Linked DNA regions of Stegostoma tigrinum. The protein of the gene in region 1 purifies or fractionates together with the protein of each later gene. This does not show direct contact. Links are inferred from orthologs where the notes say so. Each region holds a gene or a part of one and is shown in the gene's direction. Other genes may lie near its edges.

The links. Proteins that work in one complex are often made in the same cells at the same time.
Region 2: the proteins of microtubule-associated proteins 1A/1B light chain 3A (region 1) and cltcb purify together in Homo sapiens (affinity purification with mass spectrometry; 3 studies listed by BioGRID and IntAct, with this or other methods). This does not show direct contact. The link is inferred for Stegostoma tigrinum from reciprocal best matches to the Homo sapiens genes MAP1LC3A and CLTC.

The regions. Positions count from the first base shown.
Region 1 is NC_081372.1:12,785,772-12,793,675, forward strand, and holds the start of microtubule-associated proteins 1A/1B light chain 3A, read left to right. Parts: upstream 1-4,881; 5' UTR 4,882-4,985; coding exon 4,986-5,025; intron 5,026-7,904. UniProt on the Homo sapiens protein: Ubiquitin-like modifier involved in formation of autophagosomal vacuoles (autophagosomes). While LC3s are involved in elongation of the phagophore membrane, the GABARAP/GATE-16 subfamily is essential for a later stage in autophagosome maturation.
Region 2 is NC_081380.1:42,416,174-42,423,296, forward strand, and holds the start of cltcb (clathrin, heavy chain b (Hc)), read left to right. Parts: upstream 1-4,038; 5' UTR 4,039-4,175; intron 4,176-4,339; 5' UTR 4,340-4,463; coding exon 4,464-4,505; intron 4,506-7,123. UniProt on the Homo sapiens protein: Clathrin is the major protein of the polyhedral coat of coated pits and vesicles. Two different adapter protein complexes link the clathrin lattice either to the plasma membrane or to the trans-Golgi network.

The DNA.
Region 1 (7,904 bases):
GTAGGAGACTGAGGGATGATCTTACGTAGAGGTCTATAAAATCAGGAGAGGCATAGATAAGGTAAATGACCAACAGCCTTTCACCATGGTAGGGAAATCCAAAACTAGAAGGCATATGTTTAAGGTGAGAGTGGAGAGATACAAAAGGATCCAGAGGGGCAATGTTTCGTACAGAATGTAGTGAGTGTCTGTATCAGGCCACCAGAGGTGATGGTGAAAGCAATTACAGTTTTGTCATTTAAGAAACATTTAGACATGTACATGGATGGGATGGGTAAAGAGGGATACGGGCCAAATGCAGGCAAAAGGGTCTAGTTTAGTTATGAAAACTGGGTGGCGTGGGCAAGTTGGGCTGAAGGGCCTGCTTCCATGCTGTACGCTCTGATGACCCTATGACTCTATTTTGAAGAAGAGTAAGGGACTTATCTCTGGTGTTTTGGGCAATATTTATTCATCAATGCACATTGCAACATTAGATTATCTGGTAAGTATCACCTTGCTGTTTGTGGGAGTTCGCCGTGTGCAAATTGGCAGGTATATTTTCTACATTACAGTAGTGACCATATTTCAACAATTCCTGTGAAGAGCGCTATATAAATGCAATAAAAACAGAAAGTGCTGTAGGACTTAACGGGTCAGGTAGCATCTGTTGAAGAAGCATCACAATCCAAAGAAGATTCGTCTTGGACTCAAAATATTAACTCTGTTTTTCTCTCCGCAGATGCTGCCTGACAGTTCTGCAGCATTTCTGTCTAAATTTCAAATTCCCAGCATCGGCAGTAGTTTGATTTTATACAAATGCATTTAGCTTCTCTGCCTTTGGCGAAGTTATCTGTGATGAAACATTACTCTGTAGCTCTAGCTGCCAGACAGGAGGGTGTAAAAGATCCCAGAGTACAAACTTGATGAAGATCAGTAAAGTTATCACTCATATAAAAACATTGCTGGGAAACTCAGCAGGTTTGGCAGCTTCTGTGCAGAGGCAAACAAAGTTAACATTTCAAGTATGACTCTTGCCTCTTCTTCAGACCCAGGTGTCTTGTCAATGTTTACACATCTCTCAATCAATATCACAAAACACAGGCTATCTTGTCATGTTCAGAGTGCTGTTTGTGAAAGTTTGACCCACACAGGTCATTTGCCATTTTTCCCACAATTTCTACAACAGTGAAATTGGTTCAGAAGTATTGATTTGGCTGTAAAGCTCTTTGATACTTTCTGTGGGTGGGTGTAAAAAGCATTACATAAAAGCAAACATTTTTGAGTTCTATCCCTTTGAAGCTTTTTGTTGACCATTTTTGCCATTTGTGTAAGTTATGAAGATGTTAGGGATGTTCTATTTGTGAAAGCCAGTTGAAGCAAGATAGAACTGGCACCAATGTTCACACACTATTATATTTATTTACAGATTTATACAGAATGAGCATACAACACACTGCTTTTCATCATTTATACAAATAGGAGGCATGGTTAGTTAAGTTTGCAGATGACACCAAAATAACTGGTGTAGTGGACAACGAAGAAGATTATCTCGGAGCACACTGGAACTTTGTTCTGATGGGCTGATGCGCAGAGGAGTGGCAGATGGAGTTTAATTTAAACTCGAGTGTTGCAATTTGGTAAGCCAAAGCAGGACAGGACTTGTACATTAATGTTAGGGCTCTGGGGAGGGTTGCTGAACAAAGAGACCTAGGGCATGCAGGTGCATAGTTCCTTGAAAGTGGGTGGATAGGGATGGTGAAGAAGGCATTTGGCACACTTGCCTTCAGTTGTCAGAGCACTGAGTATAGGATTCGGGACATCATGTTGCAGCAGGTCAAGTCATTGGTGAGACCACTTTTTAGAATACTGTGTGCAGTTCAGGTCACCCTACTGTAGGAAAGATGTTATTAAACTTGAGTGCAGAAAAGATTTACAAGAATGTTGCTGGCTCTGGGGAGTTTGAGCTATAGGGAGAGGCTGAATATGCTGGGGCTTTTAACCCTGGAGTTTCGGAGGGTGAGGGTGACCTTATAGAGGTTTATAAAATCATGAGCGGCATGATTACAGTGAATAGCCAAGTCTTTTTCCCAGGGTGGGAGAGCCCAAAAGGAGAGGGCATAGGTTTAAGATGAGAGGGAAAAGATTTAAAAGGGATCTAAAGAACAATTTTTTCATGCAGAGGGTGGTGCGTACATGACACAAGCTGCCAGAGGAGGTGGTGGAGGCTGTTGCAGGTACAAGATTTAAAAGGCATTTGGATGGAATGAATTGGAAGGGTTTGGCAGGATAGGGGACAAATGTTGGCAAACAGGACTAGGTCAGAGTGGGATGTCTGGTTGGCATGGATGAATTGGACTAAAGACTCTATTTCTGTGCTGTATATCTCTATGACTTCCAATGAAAATCATGCAGCATTAGTCTGTATCCATACAGATTCAATTCCTGTCAGAGTTAATGCCCATCATCTGAACACAATTAACACACAATTAATCAGAAAGATACTTCTGAGTCTATTGCGCAAAGAATTAAAAAAAATCATAGTTCCACCTGAAATGAGATCTCACACTAATTCTATTGTACAGCTGCTAACACACATCCTGCCTCACATGAACGACGATTAATCATGGAGGGTCTGATATTGCCAAGTTATTTCCAGATGACGATGCAAAATTCAACTAAGCATAAGTGCCACTGTGAATGTGGTAAAACATTGCAGTAACCTGCTGTAAAATCCAGTATATGAGATACAGGTTAATTTCATCTGATATTTATCGTCTGGGCTTTACAGCAGAGAAACAAACACTGGTAAAAATGACATATAAAAATACTGTTTCAGAGACAGAAGGAACTGCATATGCTGGAGAATCAAGAAGGGTCTCTCTGAAGAAGGGTCTCAGCCCGAAACATCAGCTTTCCTGCTTCTCTGATGCTGCTTGGCCTGCTGTGTTCATTCAGCTCTACATCTTGTGATCTCTGTGTAAAAATGCAGCATGGACAAAACTATTCCCTCCTGGTGAGTTCTCATCCTTCATGGAGTTAAACAAGAATTACACTTCATGGTGAGAATGGTGGTTTAGTCTGCACCTGGGGTGGAATTTGGGCAGTGTGAGGTGGGTGGGAGCTATAAATGGAACAATAACCTGACTCAGAACTACCCAGTAATGACAGCACTGAAATAGATCATTTGATCCAATTGGGTTGTGCCATTGTTTCAACTTCAAATAAGCCTCATCCTGCCCTGCTTCATCTTCCCCATCAGAGAGTCATTGCATTCATTTCTGTTTGAGCAGCATATCCCGCTGCCCCTTCGGGGCCTGCTCCAATAGTATGATTTCAGCCTTGGTAACCAGATTTTAAATTTAATTAATTTGTAAGTCTTTATTGAAATTGTTAATAACAAACATGAAGCTACTGTTTCGCTATATTAAAATCAAATTCTATTGAAGAGTCATCTAGATTCAAAACATTTTCTCTCCATGAATGCTGTCTGATCTGCTGTGATCTCCAGCACTTGTTTTCTGTTAAAAGGAAATATGCTATTTTTCCAGAGGAGGGTATATCTGCTGTCTTAACCTGACATGGCCTAGCCTACAGACCCACAGTACTGTGCCTGATTAATCTGCCCTCTGAAATGAATTCGTAAGCTACCAAAATAAAACAAAAAAACTGTGGATGCTGGAAATCTGGAACAAAACAGGAAATGATTGGAAAAAAACTCAGGCCTGGCAACATCTGCAGAGAGAAGGTAGAGTTCACACGTTGAGTCCAAGCTGCTGACGCTGCCAGACTTGCTGAGTTTCTCAAATAATTTCTGTTTTTGTAGCAATCTAATAAGTTGCACAAAACTGCTACAGAAAAACAGCACAAGTGGTGCACCTCTGCAATGGTTCAGGAAAGTGGTGGTCAGAAACAATTGGGAATTGTCAATAAATATTGGCCTTGTTAGTGACTCTCATCTCAAAAAACAATTTCATAAAACCCTGAGTTAATTGCTTCCTTTCGGCTCTGCATGCTCTGGATAAAGTCATTTCTTTTTAATTATCTACTGGAGTGGCGATGATCTTATATTTAGGATCTCAATTTATGTCTCCGCCACATCTTCTCCATGTAATCTTTATCAAATTTCGTTTTAAGGCAGTCCGCGGAGACGGCGGATGAAGGTTTAAACCACTTCAGCAATGTCAGTTCTCAGTATCACATCAAAGCGTTAACTAATCTTCCGAATGGACCTGTGACCTCACCCAAACACTGAATCACCAGGGAAGGAAAATAAACTAAAAACAAAGAACCGCGGATGGTGAGGAGCTGAAACAAACAAAAACAGAGAATCCCAAGATCTCTGACCGAAAACGGAGAATGCTGGGGAAACTCAGCAGGTCTGGAAGCGTCTGTGGAGAGAGAAAAAGTTAACATTTCGAGTCCAGTGACCTTTCTTCAGACCTGCTGAGTCTGTCCAGCAATTTCTGGCTTTGTTTTTAAAAACCCTACCACGCTTTAAAGGTGAAGTAAACAAAACTATTCCGTGTGTCCACTAAGATCAACGAACGGCGTGATATTTTATCATTTATCACTGCAAGCGGACATAAGTCCACACCTTCTGCCGAGCAATTCCGTAAAAATTAAAATCGACACCTCATGATAACTGTAACAATCTTTTGTCGTTGAATGTAAATATGATCTAAGTTGAGATTGTTGTGTTTCGTTCGAATGCCGTTCAACGGCTGGTCTTCAACCGAAAACAAAGCGATGAAGTGTGCTGCTCCCTTTGTGTGTGTTTGGCGGGGGGGGGTGGTGGTGTTTGTGAGAGGAATGTGGGGTGGGGGTGGTGTTTGAACACTGGAGAACTTGTCACTTTCTTCCCCGGGTCCTCCCCTTGAAGTATCTTTTGCGTTGACGTCAAAGTGTTCACGTGATGCGGTTTGTTACATCGCTCTGTGCTTGGACACATCAGGAACTGCACCGTCCGCTTAAGCTGATTATTCTCGGGTTCTCCTGCTCAGAAAATGCCTTCTGACAAGTCATTCAAACAGAGAAGAAGCTTCGGTAGGTGGTCGAGCAGCGCGGGGAGCAAAGAGGAGGCCGACCGAGAGAGAAGGGGGAGAAATATACCACTTGGGGAAGAGTGTGACTTGTGTATGTGTGTCCCTGTCTCTCCTCCTCCACGCAGCACCACCCTCCCCCCTTTCTCTGCGGGACTGTTGCTGTTTTTCTTTTTCTCTCCAATTTGCCTTTGACCTTCTCTCAGCTGACTGGGGTGGGGGCGGAGGGGATATACCGGTGTGGATTCTTTTAAACAGCTGCGAGAAGGACACAGGCAGATCAGTGAGAGCGAGAAGGGGGAGGGGGTAGCGAGAGGAGAGATAGAAAATAGGGATCGGTTGCAGGCAGCAAGGATGGAAACGTCGCCAGTAGTTTAACAAAGGGAAAGCGCGCTGGAGATCGGGGTGGCCTGAGGACAATGCGTGCACGCACCCTAATCCTCAGAATCTTTGTACTTAAAAGATGTTTTTTTTTGTTGGTGTTGAAGTGAATTTCAATTATTTCCTCACTTTTTCTCAATGTCAGAAATGAATCTGCCTAATATTTGTGAATCATTGATCGATATGTCGTTTTTGTAACAGTGTCTGAAGCTATCCTTATGATAATTCGTGGGATAGGGCTTCCTGAAGGACGTGAAGGTTTATTGTTGTTCTGTTCATATTTTGGAAGCCATTTTTACAGGAAAATCGCCCCTTTTTAAACCCTGTTTTGGTAACAATGGAAATTCATCTCCTGCCTCCAACTTTACAGATCTTTACGTTTTGAATTGTTGGTTAGAAAACGAGTTAGAACATTTTGACATTCTGTTTTGAGTTTGGATAATCTGGTCGTTTTATGTTTAACAATAGATTCTTTTAAAAAGAAACGAAATGATTTGTCATTGAGTACTGCAATAAACGTTGGGGGTTTTAAAATATTCAATCGTTAAATTTTGGCCCAGATATTTTTACAACTCTACAATAAACTCCGAGGATAACTCGTTCTGTGTTTGGCGAAAAGAAAGGCAGAAATCATTATGTTCAGTTACATGTTTGGCGCTGACAAGATTTTTTTTTCTATTATCTGTTTAATGGCTGAGTCACTAATTCAATTACCATTAAAGAAAAATGACAGTTTAGGTTAAGAGTGTGACAAATGGTGAATATGCAATAGGTTATAATGTATTTATTAGTTAAAATAATAAGAGCTAATTAGGGTTCCCTCAGAGACTCAGATTTCAATGTGTTTTCTTCATTTGCAATGTGCCAACTTTGAGGGAATAAAATGTTCTGGCTTTCCCACACTAATATTGCAGATATTGGAGATAATTGAAACCATCATTATTTTATGACAGTTACTGAGTTGAGGCCTAGTTTGAGATGGGTTATCACCAGGGCAGTTGAACCCTATTTGTTTCTCTAAGGTGATTTCAGATTTCACAAAAATCTGTAATTTCCTTCTTTTTAGGTAAAACAAGACTTAGTGGAATGGCTATATGTAAATTAACATCTTTTTTCTGACCAGTATCACTATGTTGTAGTTTTCAATACTGCATTTTTTCTCTCCTTCAACATGAGTGTATACGTATTGCTCCTACCTATAAAATCTAGATGCTCCATAACATTGACCAGAAATATTGCAGAAAAACACAATGATCTAATAAATCAATTAGGAGACACTTAAGTGTTACTACATTTTATCAAACTCACTTAAGAAACTACAACTTTCTTAATGTCTTAAGACGTGGCCTTGTTAATTAACTTGGAAGCTGCAATCATCTTTGCCAAAACTGAAAGTCTTGTTGGGCTCTTATTGTTCACCACCATATTCTGTTGATTTCCCTGGCTTCAGTTTTTCTGAATGAAGATCTGGAGGTTACTGGACCCTTGAAGGACTTTCCTTCCTTCACCTTGCTTTCAAATGCATTGACTATACTGTTTTGGAGTAACACTGCACCTGGTCTAGGGAGATATTGGTGCATAGCTAATGTTAACTCATGATGCAGAAGCTGTATACAGTACTGTGTTGTGCACCCTTTCTGCAGATCCACCTTTCTCCCCCATTTGAATTGATCTTGGACAGCCTTGTCTTCATTCACGGGAGGTGGGCATCAAGCATTTCTTGCCCATCCCGAATTGCTCTGGACTGACATTTCAGAGGATAGTAAAGAGTCAATACTGTTGTGGGTCTTTAGTTCATAGAATCCCTGCAGTGTAGGAACAGGCCATTCAGCCCAACAAGTCCACGCTGACCCTCGGAACATTCCGCCCAGACCCATCCCCCTAATCTACACATCCCTGAGCACTATGGGCGACTTAGTATGGCCAATCCACATAGCCTGCACATCTTTGAACTGTGGGAGAAAACCCACACAGACACGGGGAGAATGTGCAAACTGCACACAGTCGCCCAAATGTGGAATCAAACCAGGGTTTCTGCTGCTGTGAGGCTGCAGTGCTAACCACTGAGCCACCGTGGTTTGGAGACCAAGTGTGCCAGACCAGGTAACAATGGCAGATTTTCTTCCCCTAAACAGCATGATGAAATAGATGGGGTTTTTTCACAGAAAACTGACAGTGCCTTCATGGTCAGCATTAAGATAACTTCCAGATTTTTGTTGAATTCTAAGTTCACCAACTGCTGTGGTCAGTTAGAGCATGGGGTTCTAGATGATCAGACCAGTAACAACAACACATCGCCACTATCTCCCCATAATGATGTGTTTGACCAAAGGAGACCCCCAACCTCACCCAGTGCCTGGAAAGTCTAACAATGTCTAACCCTTATCCAATACAGTGACCTTGCTGGACTACCCACTTTACCTTTCTCCAGGAAAGGACGTTGGTCCACTCAACTAGTTCTAGAGAATTCTACTGAGCTCATTCAATACCCTGATTCAGTCA
Region 2 (7,123 bases), on another chromosome or scaffold:
TCTGAGTTTGTAGGAAGGATTTGGCAGGGAGGGCCTTTCTCACATCATACCCAGCCATGCCTTGGTGCTTGTTTTTGTTAGTTCTGGCGGCGAAGTATTCTACCAAATGACTTTGACAGCTTACACATGGAAACCATCTGACAGGATCTGCCATCTCCCTTTGCCACAAGGTCGAGAGGCTGTCAGGTGAAGACCACTTCCTGAATTTTTTTGGTAGAAACTACTCCACGAGGGATAGGTGATACAGCAAAGTCCATCTAGTTTCAGTGTTCTACAACAATGTGGATGGACCCATTCTTTGTAACACCCAGGGGCAGGTAGAACCTGTAAACATTTGTATTTGCATATGAAGGGTGTGTCTCTGTGAGCATAGTCCTTCTTCAACCTCCAGATAAAGTGGAAAATATCTCAGGTGACCACTGTGGTGCAGGAGTGAAGAATGGGCCAGGCCTGCAACATTGAGAGCACAGCAACTGATGACTAGGTTCTTACCTGCAACGGAGAGGGAGCATCATTCCTCTGTACCCATGCTTTGTTTTATAACAGTTACTTGTTCACGTACCCTGGCCCCTCCAAACCATATCCGAGCATCTTCAGGTAATCTGACCCGACAATGAAGAACAAAGGTTTAGTTGGCTCAGTTCCCAAAAAGCGTGGCCTTGCTCTTTGCTCAATTTATCTTGCCTCCTGATTCAAGTTCAAATCGGTCTATTCATCGTCAGTGGAACTGAGCAGAAGATGATGACATTGCCCACCTACAGAAAAGCTCTGACCTCAGTGCCTCCACTACCTGGATGGTCACCCTTCTTATTTTCACATTCTTTTTGATTGACTTGGCAAAAGGGTTCTATCCAACACATAGATCACAGGAAAGAGCACAGCTCTGCATGACTCCAAACCTGTTAGGATTGTTTTCTGATTCCCATCCGTTGATTGAAACTGCATTACTTTTGTACAGGGCATAAACTTTAACACTCTGTGCCAAAACCTTGACCCTCTAAGATGCTATCTTTCTGGTGCAAGCCTTAATCACTTGCCTCAGTGTAATCATGACCAAACTCACAAAAGTCAAAATCAGGACACAATGAAAACTTTGGGAAAGGTTAAAATTGTATGGCCCTAAACTCCACCTCTTCCTCCATTACATTGATGACTGTATCGGCGCCGCCTCGTGCTCCCATGAGGAGCTCAAACAGTTCATCCACTTCGCCAACACCTTCCACCCCAAGTTCACCTGGACTATCTCAAACACATCCCTCACCTTCCTGGACCTCTCTGTCTCCATCTCGGGCAACCACCTAGAAACCGATATCCACTTCAAGCCCACCAACTCCCGCAGCTACCTAGAATACACCTCCTCCCATCCACCTTCCCTCAAAAATGCCATCCCCTATTCCCAATTCCTTCGCCTCTGCCACATCTGTTCCCAGGATAAGGCATTCCACTCCCATAGGTGTTCTAATTTTTCAAGGACCACAACGTCCCCCCGCAGTGGTCAAGGATGCCCTCGACCGCGTCTCCCGCATTTCCTGCAACTTATCCCTCACACCCCGTCCCCATAATAACAACCAAAAGAGAATCCCCCTCGTCCTCACATACCACCCCACCAACCTCCAGATCCAATGCATCATCCTCCGACACTGCCACCATCTGAAATCTGATCCCACCACCAAAGACATTTTTCCCTCCCCACCCTTGTCTGCCTTCTGGAGAGACCACTCTCTCCATGACTCCTTTGTCTCCTCCACACTCCCCTCCAACCCCACCACACCCGGCACTTTCCCCTGCAACCGCAGGGAGTGCTACACCTGCCCCCACACCTCCTCCCTCATCCCCATCCCAGGCCACAAGAAGACTTTCCACATCAAGCAGAAGTCCACTTGCACATCTGCTAATGTGATATACTGAATCCGCTGTACCCATTGTGGCTTCCTCTACATTGGCGAAACCAAGCGGAGGCTTGGGGACTGCTTTGCAGAACGCCTACGCTCGGTTCACAATAAACAGCTGCACCTCGCAGACACGAACCATTTCAACTCCTCTTCAGAAGACATATCCATCCTGGGCCTCCTGCAGTGCCACAACGATACCACCCGAATGTTGCAGGAACAGCAACTCATATTCCGCTTGGGAACCCTGCAACCCAATGGTATCAGCGTGGATTTCACAAGCTTCAAAATCTCCCCGGCCCCCCACCGCATCCCAAAACCAGCCCAGCTTGTCCCCGCCTCCCTAACGTGTTCTTCCTCTCTCCTGTCCCCTCCTCCCACCTCAAGCTGCACCCCCATTCCTTACCTACTAACCTCAACCCGCCCCCTTGACCTGTCTGTCCTCCCCAGACTGACCTATCTCCTCCCTACCTCCCCACCGACACTCACCTCTACAGGCTCCATCCCTGCTCCTTTAACTTGTCTGTCTCCTGTATCCATCTTCAATCGGCCTCCCCTTTCTCTCTATTTATTTCAGAACCCTCTTTCCTCCCCCATTTCTGATGATGGGTCTAGGCCTGAAATGTCAGCTTTCCTGCTCCTAAGATGCTGCTTGGCCTGCTGTGTTCATCCAGCTCCACACGTTGTTACTTTGGGAAAGGGTTGTGTGTAATGATTGACACACTGAATGACCAACAGAAGGAGTGTGGTCAAGCAGTAGTGGAAAGTTGGAGGTCATGAAGTGAAATCTCCCAGAATAGGTCATCCAGAGTTAAGAACTGTTGAGTCACAGCTTGAGTCATTGAGAGGTGATCATGTAATTTAATATCAACCCAATTTTTCTTTCTCTAGAGCAAGAAACCATTTCAGCATAGCTACATATAGCACACTGCATATCATCATATAAATGAGAAGCAGGAGTAGGTCATTCAGATCTCAAGCCAGCTCTGCCAATAAGTAAGATCATAGCTGATGTGACTGTGGTGTCAACCCAACATCCTCAACCATCCCGAAAATCATTAAGTAATGATTGATGACTTCCCAGAAAGCAAAACTGGATATGATACACTTGTTCAACTTGTACTCTTCAAAACAGATAATCAGTGTGTTAATTTCCAAGTTAATAAAATGTGAGGCTGGATGAACACAGCAGGCCAAGCAGCATCTCAGGAGCACAAAAGCTGACGTTTCGGGCCTGGACCCTTCATCAGAGAGGGGGATGGGGAGAGGGAACTGGAATAAATAGGGAGAGAGGGGGAGGCGGACCGAAGATGCTTTTGTGCTCCTGAGATGCTGCTTGGCCTGCTGTGTTCATCCAGCCTCACATTTTATTATCTTGGAATTCTCCGGCATCTGCAGTTCCCATTATCTCTGTTAATTTCCAAGTGTTACTTTTCATTGCTAAGCTGATTTGTTCCTTCTGGGAAATTAGATGGGGACTCGAGGGAAATAAACTTGCCCGGTTATGAGGCTACGGTAGAGGAATGAGACTGAAGTGCTCTGAGACAGTCATCATGGAGCGAATGGCCTCCCCGTACCTTAAGTGACTTCATCATTCCATGGAATGTCCTCTGTTCCAAAAATTAAAGACTGGGACATGAAAGATAAAATCTACTTCATTTATTTGTATGAACTCACACATACACTTTTTTTTGGGGAATGCACTAATTTTATTGCTGGAATATATTTTAAAAATCTCCAAAAGGCCGAGAGAGAGGACACAACAACCTTCCCTCCATCATTGCAGATACAGCAGGGCCAGCCTTTGCAATGAATGAGGAGCTGAAGGCGGAAGGTGGAGAAACCCGGAAGCCCAGGCGGAAGTGATGCTTAATCATGTGCCAATGATGTGGCCGCCCGAAGGAAAACTCTCCGCCGACCGAAAAAAGTCCCATTTCCGCCCACCCCCGCTTCCCAGTTTTCGCCGTCAAATCTGAAGGGGGGCGGTACCCGAAAGACCAAGTTTTACTCGTATATGGTTGCAATGAGCGAAGGGGTGGACGGGCGTGTGGGGGTTGTCTGTTGTTTTTTTTAGTTACACAGCGGGTGGGCTTGCCGAAGTGACCCCACCCCCCCTCACCTCGCTTTGATCTGACGGTCTGGGTGGAGGGGCGTGTCACCGGGTGCAGGGGTAGCGCTCCGCCGTTTCCGGTTTTCCGCCATTGCGGCTCCCGCTGCGGCTCCGTGGGGGCCCCGTTGACGGTTTATAAAAGGGGAGGCGGGCGGCAGGAAGGGCAGCAGCTTCAGGTGAGTCTCTGAGAGGGCGTCTCCTCCCTTCACGGTGATAACGGGCTTTCCCCCTGACCCCCTTCCGTCTGAGGGAGGGGTTTTTGGAACATTTCCCTCTTGGCTGATGTCATTCGATGTAGAAATAATATTTTTTTGTATTTATTATTTCTCCCCCCACACAGATCCGCACTTACTCGCCTCTCTCTCTCTCTCTTCCCTGGCTGGTTTTTTATTCTCTCGCCGGAGGATCTCGGTGTGTTTTTTCTTTCCTTTTGGACCCGCTGAGCGCCAGCGTCGTCTGTCGACATGGCTCAGATCCTGCCCATCCGCTTCCAGGAGCACCTGCAGGTAACTCGCTCAATCAGTCCGTCAGTAAACGATGACTTTTTTTCTCTTTTTTAACTTAACTTTAAACAAAAAATTTTAACACCCCCCCCCCCCCCCGCCCCTGCATCTCCTGACCTCTACACCTTCTCTCTTCTTCCCCCCCCCCCCCCCCCCCGTAACATGGGCCTTCGCTTCAGACCGAGCCCTGGGTAAATGTCATCCCCACCCGCATACAGCGCTCCCGTCTCTAATCTTCGACCCCACCTCCCTCCCGCCTGTAGATTATTCCTAATCCCCCCCCCGGATTTGCTTCTCTCTATATATCTCTCGTTTTGCAAACCTACCCCCCCCCCCAATTTCGCCGTAATTTTTCACTTTGAAATATTATCGGTGGGGGTGGAGGTTCAACCTTGGATTACACCGTGGCACCGTTTCACAATGTCGCCCGTATGAGGAAATGTGTGAATGCTTGCACGGTTTATAAAAAAATCTTGTCTTCTTTAACCCCACCCCTAGTTTAAAGCTCTACCTTACTGCAGGCCTCGAATGCTGATGGTGCCCATCTCATTTAGTTTTTTAATAAATTGGAGTGAGTTCAGGCTATGAATGATTTTTTTTGCCAAATGGAGCCTAGTGCAGATGTTTCTAATGGTAACAGTACCAGGCTTCCACCCCACCAATGTTTGCCTGTCTTTTAATCTGAGGTGGAAGTGGGACAATTGCTTAATGACCCTTCAGTGTTTTAAACTGAAATTTGAGTTCTTGTACTGTAAATAACTTGTTTTATATGTGCAACCCATGACCATGTTCTCAGCTAGCAGTGAGACAGTTGAACTTTTTTCAACCAGTTGTAACTTTGCTTGTAATTTTTAATGTTGAGTTATGCTTCCAAAATGGGCTTGATAGTGGCTCAACTCATCAATTAAGATATGATCATTTTAAACGTTTGGTTTGTTTGTACTTAGTGGTGTCTTTAGCTGTAGATATGTTGGATTCTTGAATAGAATTGTTTGTATTTATCTTTAATTCCTATGTAGTGTTTCTCAACTTTGTTTCATAGTTTGTGTATTTTTCACACTTGGTATCTAAATACAGTTGAAGATGTTAGAATGCATTGGTTTTCCAGTAACTTAACAGGTATTAAATTGGGCAACTAAACAGTGGGTTCTTCAGTTGCTAACTTACCCTAAGTATCACTCTTTATAAATTAGCCTGTTTAAAGTTACATTCCAACTGACTTACTAGTGGCATTTTTAACAAATTTAACTGGGTGTTACTTGAGCTGGTGACATAGGAGCATGGAATGTGAAAAAGCAAGGCTTTCAATAACTATCAATGCCCTGCCAGGGAAAATTGAGTTTATCTTGCTCTCCCTTAAAATTGACATCATATTCAGTTTGATCTGAAAGTTGACTGACAGTGTTTAAACTGTCACTTGCCTCTTACAGTTTATAAACAGGTGAGTGGGCAAGCAGGAGACTGTGTAAATCTGTAATAAAGCACTTTTGTGTAGATGTGTCAATCTGCTTTCTCCTTGGAGGTGCTAAATAACCAGCTGCCCATACCGCTAAAACATGGGTCTGATTTGTAACTAGTCACGTGTTTAGAACTTGCCATTCTAAGCTATGGGGTGTTGTTTCTATGGGAAACTAGTTTAATTTGGTTAAACTAAATTTGTAGTGATGCTTCATACCATTGCTCCATGTTGAAACATGGAGCAAGAAATAGGTAACTATGAAGGTGTACAGTACAGCTGGATGAACACACCAAACCGAGCAGGAAAGCTGACGTTTCAGCTCAAGTCTTCAGGGGGGATTTCTGATCAAGGGTCTAGGCCCGAAACATCAGCTCTCCTGATGCTTGGCCTGCTCTGTTCATCCAGCTCTAAACCTTGTTATCTCAGATTCTCCAGTATTGGCAGTTCCTACTATCAAGTCAACTATGAAGTTCTTTGCTAAGAACATCACTTCGGAGGATCAGACTTCTACCCTGGAGTGTCTACGCATGCATCCCATGATACTTTAACTTTAGTTTACTAAGTACTGATAACTAAATTTCAAAAATACACAAGCTTACTCAATTCAGACTTGCACAATGAGGTCCAAAGGGCTGCTGCTAGGAAGTGATTAGAGAATTTGATCTAGATGCAAAATCCATGCAGTTATTTAACAAATAGGTTTTAGCCATCATGTAATAGCCTAAACCTCCTGTAAGTTGGTTGATGCAGTATTGATCAACCAATACTGCATTCAGTGAGTGATAGCACTTATATTTGCATACTGTTTGATACTGTATAATGTCCCTTCTGACCCTGATCCCTTGCATTCTAACTGCAGTCAATGAAAATCTTAAATTAAGTTACTTTTGACCTCCCTCCTTTCTAATTTAAATTAGAATATTTCCAACATGGAGACTCTAGCCTTTTTAACAGCAGACAGCAAATTACTGTTTGAGACTGACTCCTTAGCAGGAGAGGGCTTGCAAGGGTATCGAATGCCCTTGTATGATATTCAGTCTTAAACTGTTTCCAATGTTCAAAGAATACTGCAACAGGTAGTGATCACTTTTTCAACTGATCAAGTTGTGGATTGCAATGTGCTAATCTAATCTCAGGCTAGAATCACCTTTTTTGAAGATCT